Linked DNA regions of Caenorhabditis elegans. The protein of the gene in region 2 purifies or fractionates together with the protein of the main gene of each other region. This does not show direct contact. Each region holds a gene or a part of one and is shown on either strand. Other genes may lie near its edges.

Region 1 (7,936 bases), on a different chromosome or scaffold from region 2:
TCAAATCTGAACCTGTATCTGAAATGACGACTGACTCGTTGATTGTTGATGATGACAGGGATACGTCAATATCTGAAATCATTAAGTATCTGGATACGTCGGATGACGTTTTGGAATCATGGCAGGAGGCGACGGGCAGGAAGAAATGGTGATTTTTTGATATTACTGCTAAAATGATAAATTCTGTAATTTTCAGTTTTGTACCACAGAAAACACAAAAACTCGTCTACCCGCTGCCATTGTCAAAAGTCGAAAAACCATTGCAAAAATGTCAGCAGACTTTGGCCGCTTCCACCATTGACGAGGATAGCAAAGAAGCATCAACTATTGCTCTACCCGACGCCAGGAAAAAGTTGACAAAAAAAGAAAAGCGCCTTATGGCTGCACAGAAGGCAAATCAATTGGAAACTGATGACGATGTACTGGAAGCAGCATATCGAGAAAGACAGAAGCATGTGGAGCAAGCTGGTGGTGACTACTCAAGCTCAGGACAGAAAGACCAAAGTGAGATTCATCATCGCCATTTGGTACTAATATTTTCAATTTCAGAAAAGAAGCGAGGAAAAAGACCCGTCTCGAATCCACCGCCATCGTTGATCAGTCCCCAAATCCTGCATGCAGTTCAAATGGCAATTGCTAACAGAGCAAAGAAGATTTCAGAATCGGGTCGTCCAATTTTTCACGAAAATTTCTCATATCAAAAATTCTATGAAACGGTGGATACTTTTGTGAAAACTTGGGAAGAAAATTCGAATGAAATGAACAAAGTGTTACAGTTTATTGAAAAACGCATTTTGGCATTCAAAATGGTGAGTTTTAATGAATTTTGGTACTTTTAAGTGTCTCAAACTGACTATTTACAGGTTCAACGTCCGCAAAGTCTCTCGCGTATTACAATCTACGAGCAACTTCAGCTGAACTTGCCGCCAGCTATTCTTCCGGAACTATGCTTTTTGGCCGGTCTCACCAGCGATTCTACTGACAAATTAGAGTATTACGAAGAAATTTTCTTCAACCTTTTCTAGATTCCGTTATTGTTTGTACACATTGTACCCAGTGATCAGATGTTTTAACTGTGATTAACCATGACCATTCAGTTGTATTTTTCAGTCCATTTAATTACGTGTCATTGTCTTCAATTTTAATTTATTGACTTTATGGGTAAATCAATTTATGTATTGAGATTTTTAGAATAAAAATGTCTAGTCTTGTATTTCTTCATCTTTTCAGAGGCTCTAACCAGTTTCAAACTTCTACCAATTTTAAATTCAAGTTTAGAAAGGGTTGAATAACTCAAGAGACGCGTTTTTGACTTCACAAACAAATTAGGCAAACTGGACAGACGGACATTATTATTTTGTTGATTATTTATTATTACCTCAAACATTTAATTCCCAAAATCAAAATCAAAATCAAAAAATCAAAAGAGATCGTGCTTAAGTGAAACTAGATGAAGAAGTTAAATATAGCTATTTTTGTCTACGAAATATTTTTGAAATTGAAACATTTTATCCAATCTGTATGTTTTGAAATTAGGCTGACGAAATCTTTTGAAAAAAAAAAACGCTATCGAAGAGGATACAACTTTTGCTCATTTTTTCCTTATGGCTTACAACAAATTGAAAAATTAAAGCAATAAATCTAAATTGATAGCCCCCTTAATCTATTTTTCAATCAATCCGTACACATTTCGGCAGCGTTATGCTCACCGTCATCACATTCATCGGGTCTTGTCAACGTATCCTATGTGCACTGCTGTGTGCGTACTCATTATCTGATATAGCAGTCTCGATGTTTCTCCCCCTCCCGGGTGAGTGGCACAACGTCCATTCGTATATCCACCGCCGGTGTTGAGTAGTATCATGTCGACTACAAGGCGCAACAGTTGGCTCTTCTATCCGGATCTCTTAGTCTCTTCTCTTGAACAGTTGCTCGTTCGGAAGTGTCCAGTCACTTCTACATCTCTCTTTCTGAATCACTCCTTGTCTATTATATCGAGAACCTCTAGGCTTCTATACCTTTTGTTTTACTGAATTTGTATTTTCTGATAAAGGAATCCCTAATTTATTTTTATATAACTGTTCTCTTATTTATTTTTTCGTTTACTTTTTCTAGTTCTAGACATAAAACTTAATTCAACTATTTTCAGCGCCACGTCATCACTTAACCACAGATAATCAGTCTAAAGAGGGCTGTCAAAGCCCTTTTCAATGTCAGAGCGCTTACGAGAAAGAGTGAGTAAATTCAATTTGATTAGGCTTTCAAACTAAGCCAATCTGTGTGCTTTAAAAATGCTACTGCATTGTAAGCCTAAAGGTTTGCCTTTATTTATATGCACAGCTATCCAAGTTTCGCTAAGAAAAATTCGAAATATTTCTCAAATTAAAAGTTATAGTTGTTCGAAGTTTTGGAGAAAAGGCGCAGTTTCAGCTGAAATTTTAATCTTTCTTAACTTGAAAATATGGTGCATAATTCGATGAATCAACGCGTAAAAATACAAAAATGTGGTACAAAAAGTCGTAATTATATAACAATAAGATTATGTCCGCTTCGATACCGATAAGTGTGTAAAACCTGAGAAAATAGGTATTTTTTCCAACAATTTTTTAGAATTTTTCAGAACGGATTTTTACTCAACCTTTAAGTCTAACTGATGGTTTCTCAGCAACATCAACTGTTTTTCTTGAACTTTTAGTAGTAACCTGTTTCAGCTTGGTATATTATCCGAAGAGTTTGATGGAAGTCTCCGATCCGCATCTCCATCAGGAAGTCGATCACCTAGAAGAATGAGCAGATCTCCAAGGCCCCATGGAACTCAGTGAGTTTCATTTTCCTTTTCGTTTGCGAAATGTGATACTTGATACCTCCTTACCCTTAACGTTTTCTTTTTCCAGTGAACCAGCCGTAGGTGTGACTCGACCTTTCGTAAGACAATCCCATCCTGAAATCGCTGCTTGGCCTGCACCTCCACCGGCGCATCAACTAGGTTGCCTCTCTGGAAATGTTCGAACACCAGTCGGAGGACCAGCTCCCCCGTCACCAGTTTTGCGGAGGGCACCAAGTGGCCCGATTTCACCATCTCCAATATCTCCAGTTAGCCAACATTCACGAGCAAGTTCTAGGCATGACATTGATAACACTTCATTGCTATCAATTTTGAAATTGTCACATGTTGCAAGAGAATCATCGAGAAATACTTCTAGAAATAATTCACGTACGTGTAAAATATTGAAAAGTTGGAAACAATTAAATTATTCTAGCTCAGCCAGCTGGACGAGAAACCGAATTGAAAAGGAAAATTCAAACACTGGAAGAAACTGTGGCAGAGTATGAAAGGCAAAAATACAACGTCATGGGCACATTCAGTGAATACAGGTTTGTAAAGTGCATACAATTTTGAAATAATGTTAGTTATTTTCAGAGAACGAGTTGCTGAAAGGGAGCGAAAGTTAGAAGCTGAGTACTCTGGTAAAATAATCGCCCTTTCTGAAGAAGTGCTAGGTGCCAAAAAGGACTTTGAAGCAAGAATGAAAAGTTTCCAAGCTCTCCAAGATAAATTCGAAAGGGAGAAAGAGCAGGCTCTGGAAAAGCTCCGCAAGGAACATCAGAAGGAAATTCAAGTGTTAGAACAACGATTTTCAGATACACAATTGCTCAACCTAGAACAAAAGTGAAAACATTTTTCTGAATTTTTTTTTCATTAACTGAATTATTTTGCAGATATATAATTGAAATTCAAAGGTTGGAAGAAGAACGGAAGTCTTTGCGAACTGAAAAAGAAAGACTCGGTGAAACTTTTGAAATGAAGCTTCGAAGAGCTCAATCTTTGTATGAAACTGAACTAACTGCTGCAAAAATGCTCTATACTAAGGAACTGGAAGCCTTGAGAGATCACGAAGAAGCACTGAAAGAGGAGCTTCTTGCTAGGTACCCGAATTCAAAATTTCACAGTTTCTTTCACAATATTTTTTATTTCAGACAAGATGAGTTTCACGATCGGCTTCAAGAGTTGCAGTTGCAATCAAAAAGAAGTCGCGAAGATTTGGTGTCTTGCAAAAACGACGTTACTGCTCTGGAAAAGAAACTCCACAATAAAGAAAAAGAAGTTCAAACTTTGACAAAAGAACTGGATCAAGTGAAAACAGAAACGAATGATAAGATCCGACGGTTGACTGAGGTAACTTCCGAGTTCGCAGAATATCGCAAGAAGTTCCAGCAACAGGAAGAAGAGTTGAGAAGGAAAGCAAGTGAGGCCTTGTTCCAGTTTTCATATTAGAATATCTTCATATTTATGTTTAAAAAATTATGAAAAATTTGAAATTTTAGGATTACTGACCGTCGTTGAAGCGGCAAAAGAAAAACTGGAATCTGTAATTTCCGATCTGCAAGTTGAAGTGAAAGCTTTGAAAAATAAAGTAGAGTTTTTGGAGAAGGAACGTGAGAACCTGCAAAGTCAAAGTGAAAGTCAGACCCAACTCCAATCTTCTCAAGTTGATGCTCTCGAAGCGGTATACTACCCAACCTATACCCACTTATGACCATATTCTCATCTTTTAGGTATTACACAGCGTCACAAAAGAAAAGGAGACAACAAAAGAACACTACGAGGGTCTTCTGCTCAAAGAACGCCAACAAGCTGAAAGCAGGGAGCATGCGATGAAAAAAGAATTTAGTTGCAAACTGAATGAGCTTGAAGAACAGTATACCAGTCTGAAAGAGGAGCTCGAAGAATCGGCACGTCTTGACAAGGATGAGCTTAGAGAGGCATCTGAGATTGAGATTCAAGCTCTGAGAACTGAAAAGAGCATTCTTGCTGCAGAAATCAGAGTTTTAACTCAGAAAATTGAAGATGAAGAGCAGGATGATATCACCGAGCAGCTCGCGAAAATTGTCGAGGATACTTCTCAATTGACTAGAACTCTTGAAGAATACAGGGAAAGAATCACAGGAAAAGGTTATTGATAGTTAAAAATTTTCATCATTAAAAGCTCATTTTCAGATGCTGAGATATTGAACCTTCGTAAGCAACTTGAGAAAGAAATTTCTCACACCGAAGATAGGAACCGATTATTACACGAAAACACTCAGAAGGAGTTGGAAGCGCACAAAGAAACTCACACCGAAACTGTGCGAGTCCTTGAGGCTGAGGTGAGGTGGATTTGAATTCGCGTTGAAAATTGAATTTTCAGATTGATCAATTTAAAAGTGCATTTGAAAATGAACAAGAATATGGAAAAGAAAAGTCTGCAAAGATTAGAGAGCTGGAAGCACAAAATAAGACATTACTCTCTGAAATGGAAAAGGTGAAACACGTTGCTGAAAATTTGGAGGCTTTTACTTCTGATAAGGACAATCTTCTCGAGGAGCTTGAATCCAAAAACAAAAACATTGAACATTTGAAGCAAGAAATTGCTCAGCTCAACGAGAAGATTTCTACGAAAGAAACCGAGAAAGACAGCGAACTTGAAAAAACGATTGCACAGCTCGAAATTGATAATAGCTCGAAATCTGATCAAATCGAAAAGCTTCATTTAAGGTAGCACATTTTATTATCCTAAATGTTTAGATAATTTTTTTACAGAGTCAATGACATGCTCGACCAAATGGGTACGATTAAAGATGAGCTTGTAAAGAAAAATGAGGAGATTAAAACGATCAGTGCTAAAACTGCTCAACTATTAGAGTAAGTCAATTTTCACTCTTCGCTTTGTAATTCGCTACTACACAAAAATATAAATTCAGATCAAACACCGTAGAGTCTGAGACAAAGCTTGCCAGTGTCACTGAAGAACGAGAAAAAGAGATCCAGAGTTTCCAAACTCAAATTTCTGAGAAAGATAATGAAGTTTTGACGAAAGCTGAACGAATTAACGAATTGGAGACTTGTCTGAAAGAACGAGAAGTCGAGTTGACAGGCATGCGTACAAAACTCGATGATATGGTATAGTTCACTTTTCTAGTCAAATCTTAAATTTTAAATCTCAAATAATTTTTATTGCAGACTCAACAACTGAATGAGGAAACTACTGTTGTACTTTTTGACAACTCTATTCAAGAAAAAATCGACGAAAAGGAGGCGACCATCAACGAAATGAACGAGAGATTGAAATCGAGAGAAAACGAAATTGCAAAACTCCACGAAGAAATGTACATGCAAAAAACTCAAAATGAGAAGCGAAACGAAGAGCAAAGCAAGCTTTTTCAAGAATTAATGTTTGAGAAGGAGCAGTTGGAAGCCGAAAAAGCAGAGCAATCACACATTGAAGCAGAAGTCGAACAAGTTTTCCAAGCCGATAAGGAATCCAAATGGAAAGAGCAAATTGAGGATTTGGAAAATGCACTTCAACGAAAAAACGAGCTGATCCAACAATTGCAAGACCGTCAGACTGATGAATCAACCTCTGAGCCCCATACCAAAAAACGAATGGTAACTTAAGAAAAGACTTTTTTGGAAAATTGTCGAATTACAGAGTATCACTTCCCATGGTGTCTTTCAAAATTTTGTGAGTCAGATGAAAGATAAAAGAGAAGAGGCTAGTGAAAAAAGAACAAGAAAAGAAGCGGAGAAAAAGGCTGAAAAGGAGAAAGAGAAAGCTGAAAAGGCAGCCAAAGAAGCTGCAAAAGAGTGAGTACAGAAACCAAAATACAGGTTGTATTGAATAAACTTTATAATATTGAATAAACTTTAATAATAGGTTGGCCCGTGAAAAGTCGCCCGCTCGTGCCAAGTCCCCTTCAATTCTGACAAGATTACGAGATCGTAGTCCAGCGAAATCGAAGTCGGACAACCTCGAATCGACTCCATCTTCTTCTAGCAGGTTCTTATTATTTAATTCAAACACTATTTGACAATCAATTGTTACTTTCAGAAATCTACTTTCTCCATTTGACGCAGAAAAACGCATGGAGCGAAGCTCACCATCGCAACAATTGTTCAGCCGAACTAAGAAAGATTCGTCCTCCGAAAAGCGACCGGCGTGGAAATTTTAATCACTAATATATGTTCTCAGTCCTTTTTAATTTGTCATTCGAACATTTTAATTACCTGTATATTTCTTGCGCTCTACAGATCATGGCATAATATCTTCACTTTTTGTAGAGCTGTGACGTTGGTCAGTGCTTGCAATGAATGATTTATTAATTGATTAATAACTTCAGATTTTAAATATAAAATGGTTCCACAGGAAGAATAAAACTAAAAATTGACAAAGTTTAGGCAAGATGGTGAAGATATTAAAAATATTCAAAGAATGAAAGAAGTTTGAGGAATAATCAATGTAGAATGCGTAGTAATAAGTGTACCCTGTTTGATATGAAAATTTAATTCACCGTAGAGTGATTTAGTAGTCATCTCGAATTACATGGTAAATGCGAATTTTCGAGATGAGACAACATGAGAGGCAAATTCCAAGCATCTGAAAATAAATATTTAAAACAGTTTTTTTTTTGGATATTGGGATGTATTTCTCGGAAAGGTATGAATTTTTTAATTTGTTTTTTTGGCTATCATTTTACAATTTATACATGTAAGAACTTCTATATCTAGTGAAACATGTGATTTTTTTTCAAATGCCGAAACAAATGTCTGACCCTCCCTTACCATGGTCAGTGCAGAACCGAATCCAAATCCTACGAATATCCAAATTTGCTCGTTGAACCACGACATTAGTCTTTCACTACACCCCTGAAAACTCATTTCTTTAGAAATAAATTAAAAACTTTAATATTAGCACAACAATCACACCAGCAAGAAAACATAATACACACTCACAACAGTGTTTACAGATGTGTCAAATGCCGTGGTAAGGTAGCGATATGTTGTGCACATCGGGTCAATGGGAACCGGTGCCCATGCTCTTCCAACTTGAGCTTGCTTGCAACAACTTGGCGGGACAAACGATCGAGTTCCACGCAACGTGTTAGTAATGTACCAGAA
Region 2 (3,873 bases):
TAAATGAAGAAATGAGCAAAAACTTGAGAGTACATCAACAAGAAATGTGAAAAATCCCACGAAACGATTGCAAACTCAAAGGCGAATAATCCAGTGAAATCCAATTATCGATTTTTTCCAATTGCGGAAATTCACGACTTTTTCCAGAAAAATGAAAAATCGGCGAGCGATTTTCCTATTTCTAACCAAAATAATCGAATAAAATCACCGAAAAATCAAAGATTGTTTTCGAAAATCTCAAAATTTCACGAAAACTTTAACTTTTCCGCAAAATTTCGCACTTTCGATGCAAAAATCAGCAAAATTCACCAATTTCTTGATGAGAAATTGAATTTCTCAGCAAAAACTTGAAAAAATCAAGCTTTCAACTCAAAAAATCGATAAAATTCACTAGGAATTTTACAATCTTCGAAATTCCAGAACTTTTATTCAAAAAAATTCGGCAGAAATCACTATCCCCGCTCTTACAGAGACAGAAACAGAATTCTGGAAAAAATCAGAACTTCCTGAGCGTTCAGCTCCAGAAAAATCGCTTTTTTGTTTTCTCTTTATCAACTACTCGTACAGAGCAAGCTAACAAAAAGAAAAATCCTCGAGACGATCCAAATTCTTCAAAATCCACTCGATTTTCGCAACGAAAAACGAGAATTCCACGGAAACCAACGGCGGTTCGGCCCCCAAGTCAAGTTCCTGTCCACAGAACTTGAATCCAATCCAGTAAACGAGACCAAAAGAAAGAGAAAAACACGATTTTTAAGAACTCTCAAATAAATTTATTGAGAGAAAGAGGAAAAGTATACAAAAACCAAGGAACTGGAGAAGAATCAACACTAAACCAGAAACCTTCAAAGAAACAGGCAGAGCGCCAGAAATCCAAGAAAAACAATAAAAGACTATAAAAATAAGCCAACAACAGGCCAAAACCACTGAAACTGGAGCTCTAACAACGAGTCAACACGCTGTGTCCGAGCAAAATCCAAGAATGAGGAAGAATCCTCGAAAAAAGATGACAAAAACTGATTTCGCGCCAGAATCGAGAAGTGCGCCAGCGTGAGAGTGCGTCAGTCATCTTTGCTTGCGCAAAAGATATTTTTAAATAAAGATTTGAGGTCTGGAATTACCCTTTGAGCTAATCGGAGAGAATTAAGAGAAAAACGGGTTAAACCCGACATAGTCGTCGTTGAATTATGGCATCCCAAGTCAACGCCAGGCGGTGTCGGTGGGAATCCCGGGTAATGATTGCAATTGTGAACACAGTCAGCAGGTTTTGTGGAATTGTGTTTTGTTCGATTATGTCCTCAAAAACTAATTATTGAAGATTCATTATTTGAATAGGTTTTACCAACCTTTTGGATAATCATGTGTCTTTCTATGACGATGGCGATCTGCAAAAAAATTAATGAAAAGGTTTCGATAAAACTAAATTACCTGGCCGAGTTATGGCTAGAACATCATGATGAATTACCAGCGCAAAAAGTAGGAGGATGCCGATTAGCAGCTTCATCCTATAAGAAAAACAAAATAGGTAATCTTTTGAAAAACTGTTTTTGAAAAGAAAAGAAATGTCGACACGCTCTCTGCTCCGATACCTCCGTTTTTAAGGCTGTTCCGTTTTTATAGTTGCAACTTGCGCTTCTGCTGACGTTTTATGCGGGGGATATAAAAATTGCAAACCATTTTTCGGTTTACAGAAGCTTCTTTCTTTTCTTTTTCACTGCAAATTCTCGATTCTGTGAAACAAGTTTGAAAAAAATCTGTGCAGTCTCCAAGTTGTGTTTTTTTCAGAAAGCTATTATTGAAAGCGGCTAAGAAATGTAAAAGTTATTCAGGAATATCTCAGAAGGGACAAAATTTAAAATTTCGGAAAACTTAATAAAAATATGAATATGGAAAATATATATATATATATATATATATGAGAAGCCAAACACAAAGGAAAATCAAAAAATGGTAGAAAAAGATAATAATTGCGCCTTGGAAATCCAATTAAAGGAATTTCCGGTTTTGAAGAGCAAAACTGGCAATTTTTAATAATATTTGTATGTAGTTGTAATTAGTTATAAAATTGAATCCCCACAGAGAAACATATGATTACAGCTTTGAAGTAACTTTTTTTCAGATTTTGAACAGTATCAAACCATGTCTCTCACTTTTCTGAAATCCTCCGTTTTTTTTAATATTCTAACTGTTAACTTTGAAACTGATAATGAGAGTCATAGAAAATATCACTCCTTCTTTAGGCGATTTCGACCGATAGAAAAGTCTATTATGTTGTTGTTTTTTTTTTAACTTCTGATAAGTTCGGGCCCGTCCATCGCATGGGTCCTCAATTTTTAGTCGCGTGTTTGATTTTTTAAAAATATCATAAATTCATGAAACTTGTGTATATGTTAGTTTAAAGGCATACGCTGATTGTCTGAGTGGGTCTCGTCACGATCTTAGTTATGGGGTTATTCAAGTAATGTAGCAAAATGTATTTAAATACATTTGTGACGTCACAAATGTATTTAAATACATGTTTTTATATACTTGAATAAGGTTGTGACGTAATTTTTCTACACTTTTTAATTTTCCGACACTACTTGAATAACCCCATTACTGATAGGTACAAGCTTCAAGTTCGACATAATTATTCATTTCATGTAGAAAAAAAAGGTTTTTGAAGTTCCATAATTTAAACTGCACAGAGCAGTCTGTAAAATGAAGTATTTAAGATAAAACTATTTTCTATATGTGGAACTTGCCGGAGAATGGGATTGACTTGTTTCTCATTCTTGTTTCAGTTTGATTGTAGAACACAGGTACAATGTTAAGTAATTATATTTTCCCCTAAATTCCGAGAAACAAGCATAAATCTAGGAAAAGAGGAACTCGTTTTTAAATTTCCGCCAAAATAGTTATCCGTGGCCTAGAATTTCCACGACGGCCGAACACTTGCATCTATCTCTGTGTCTCTTTGCGTGCACACTCTCTACAATCTCTGTTCTATCGCAGCATAATGGCTCTAATTTTACATATATTCTGTTTTCTACAAATTTTAAAGTTTTTATCGATTTTATTTCCTTATTATAATGATTTAGAATTTAAATTAACTTGAAAAATTAATAAGAGTACTCTTAATTTTTGGTACTAAACTTAATAATCCGTAAAATGCTCTCTGTATAATTTTCTTGGCATAATACGTTGTTTATCTTTGAGAAACATTTTGAAATCACCTTTATTCGATTCTTTGTAGAATGTTCTCAATAACTCGTCGATTACTCAGCAAAAACTGGAAATTCTTGCCAAATCGGGAGCGAATAGTGTTCAAAAACAAAAAAGAGGCTTTTTTTGATTTCGTCAAAGTTTCCGGAGCAAATATATTGTGGCAAATTGGACTAGCAGTTTTAGTTTTGTAAGTAATTTCTAGTCTACCGAAAAAAGGAATTTAATTTTCGCATTTCTTGTAGAGAATTCGCGTTTCCCACTCCCGATATTGTTTATGACTTGAAAAGGCTGATCTCTCCGGATTTTGATCTCTTCTGCAAATCTGGAAATCTTGTGGATTTTGAGATGGACTTTGAGAATAAACTGAGATCGATTCGACGTGAAGAAATCCGAAGTTTGGAGCAATACACGAATGCGAAAAGCCCAGAAGCCAAATTTGGTGGAATAATTTGAAAATTTGTTGATTATTTCGATAACTTTTCGACTTCTTTACTTAGTCTTTTATAACGGTTGATAGCTCTTGTTTGTTAAATATGTTGATTTTGTTAAAATTATGTTATACTTTTTAAATGCCTTTTTCGTTTTCCTACTGGTGACAATTCCACTTGACTACCTTTTCGCATATTTCAATATTTCTCGAAATCTTTATCAAAATAATCTCACTAT

The links.
Region 1: the proteins of plg-1 (region 2) and tag-278 fractionate together in Caenorhabditis elegans (co-fractionation; one large-scale study listed by BioGRID). This does not show direct contact.

The regions. Positions count from the first base shown.
Region 1 is NC_003284.9:3,683,419-3,691,354, reverse strand, and holds tag-278 (Putative protein tag-278), read left to right. Parts: upstream 1-2,149; 5' UTR 2,150-2,210; coding exon 2,211-2,234; intron 2,235-2,711; coding exon 2,712-2,818; intron 2,819-2,894; coding exon 2,895-3,214; intron 3,215-3,260; coding exon 3,261-3,375; intron 3,376-3,421; coding exon 3,422-3,670; intron 3,671-3,720; coding exon 3,721-3,927; intron 3,928-3,978; coding exon 3,979-4,247; intron 4,248-4,326; coding exon 4,327-4,508; intron 4,509-4,557; coding exon 4,558-4,954; intron 4,955-4,999; coding exon 5,000-5,148; intron 5,149-5,189; coding exon 5,190-5,536; intron 5,537-5,581; coding exon 5,582-5,683; intron 5,684-5,742; coding exon 5,743-5,941; intron 5,942-6,001; coding exon 6,002-6,427; intron 6,428-6,470; coding exon 6,471-6,625; intron 6,626-6,695; coding exon 6,696-6,818; intron 6,819-6,869; coding exon 6,870-6,990; 3' UTR 6,991-7,143; downstream 7,144-7,936. Other genes in the region: C02F12.8 (uncharacterized protein), read left to right, coding at 1-148, 197-504, 550-809, 864-1,025; tsp-17 (Tetraspanin-17), read right to left, coding at 7,341-7,415, 7,601-7,684.
Region 2 is NC_003281.10:8,849,895-8,853,767, reverse strand, and holds plg-1 (copulatory PLuG formation), read right to left. Parts: upstream 1,508-3,873; 5' UTR 1,505-1,507; coding exon 1,429-1,504; intron 1,386-1,428; coding exon 1,347-1,385; intron 1,298-1,346; coding exon 1,062-1,297; 3' UTR 762-1,061; downstream 1-761. Other genes in the region: F44E2.9 (uncharacterized protein), read left to right, coding at 3,237-3,394, 3,450-3,660.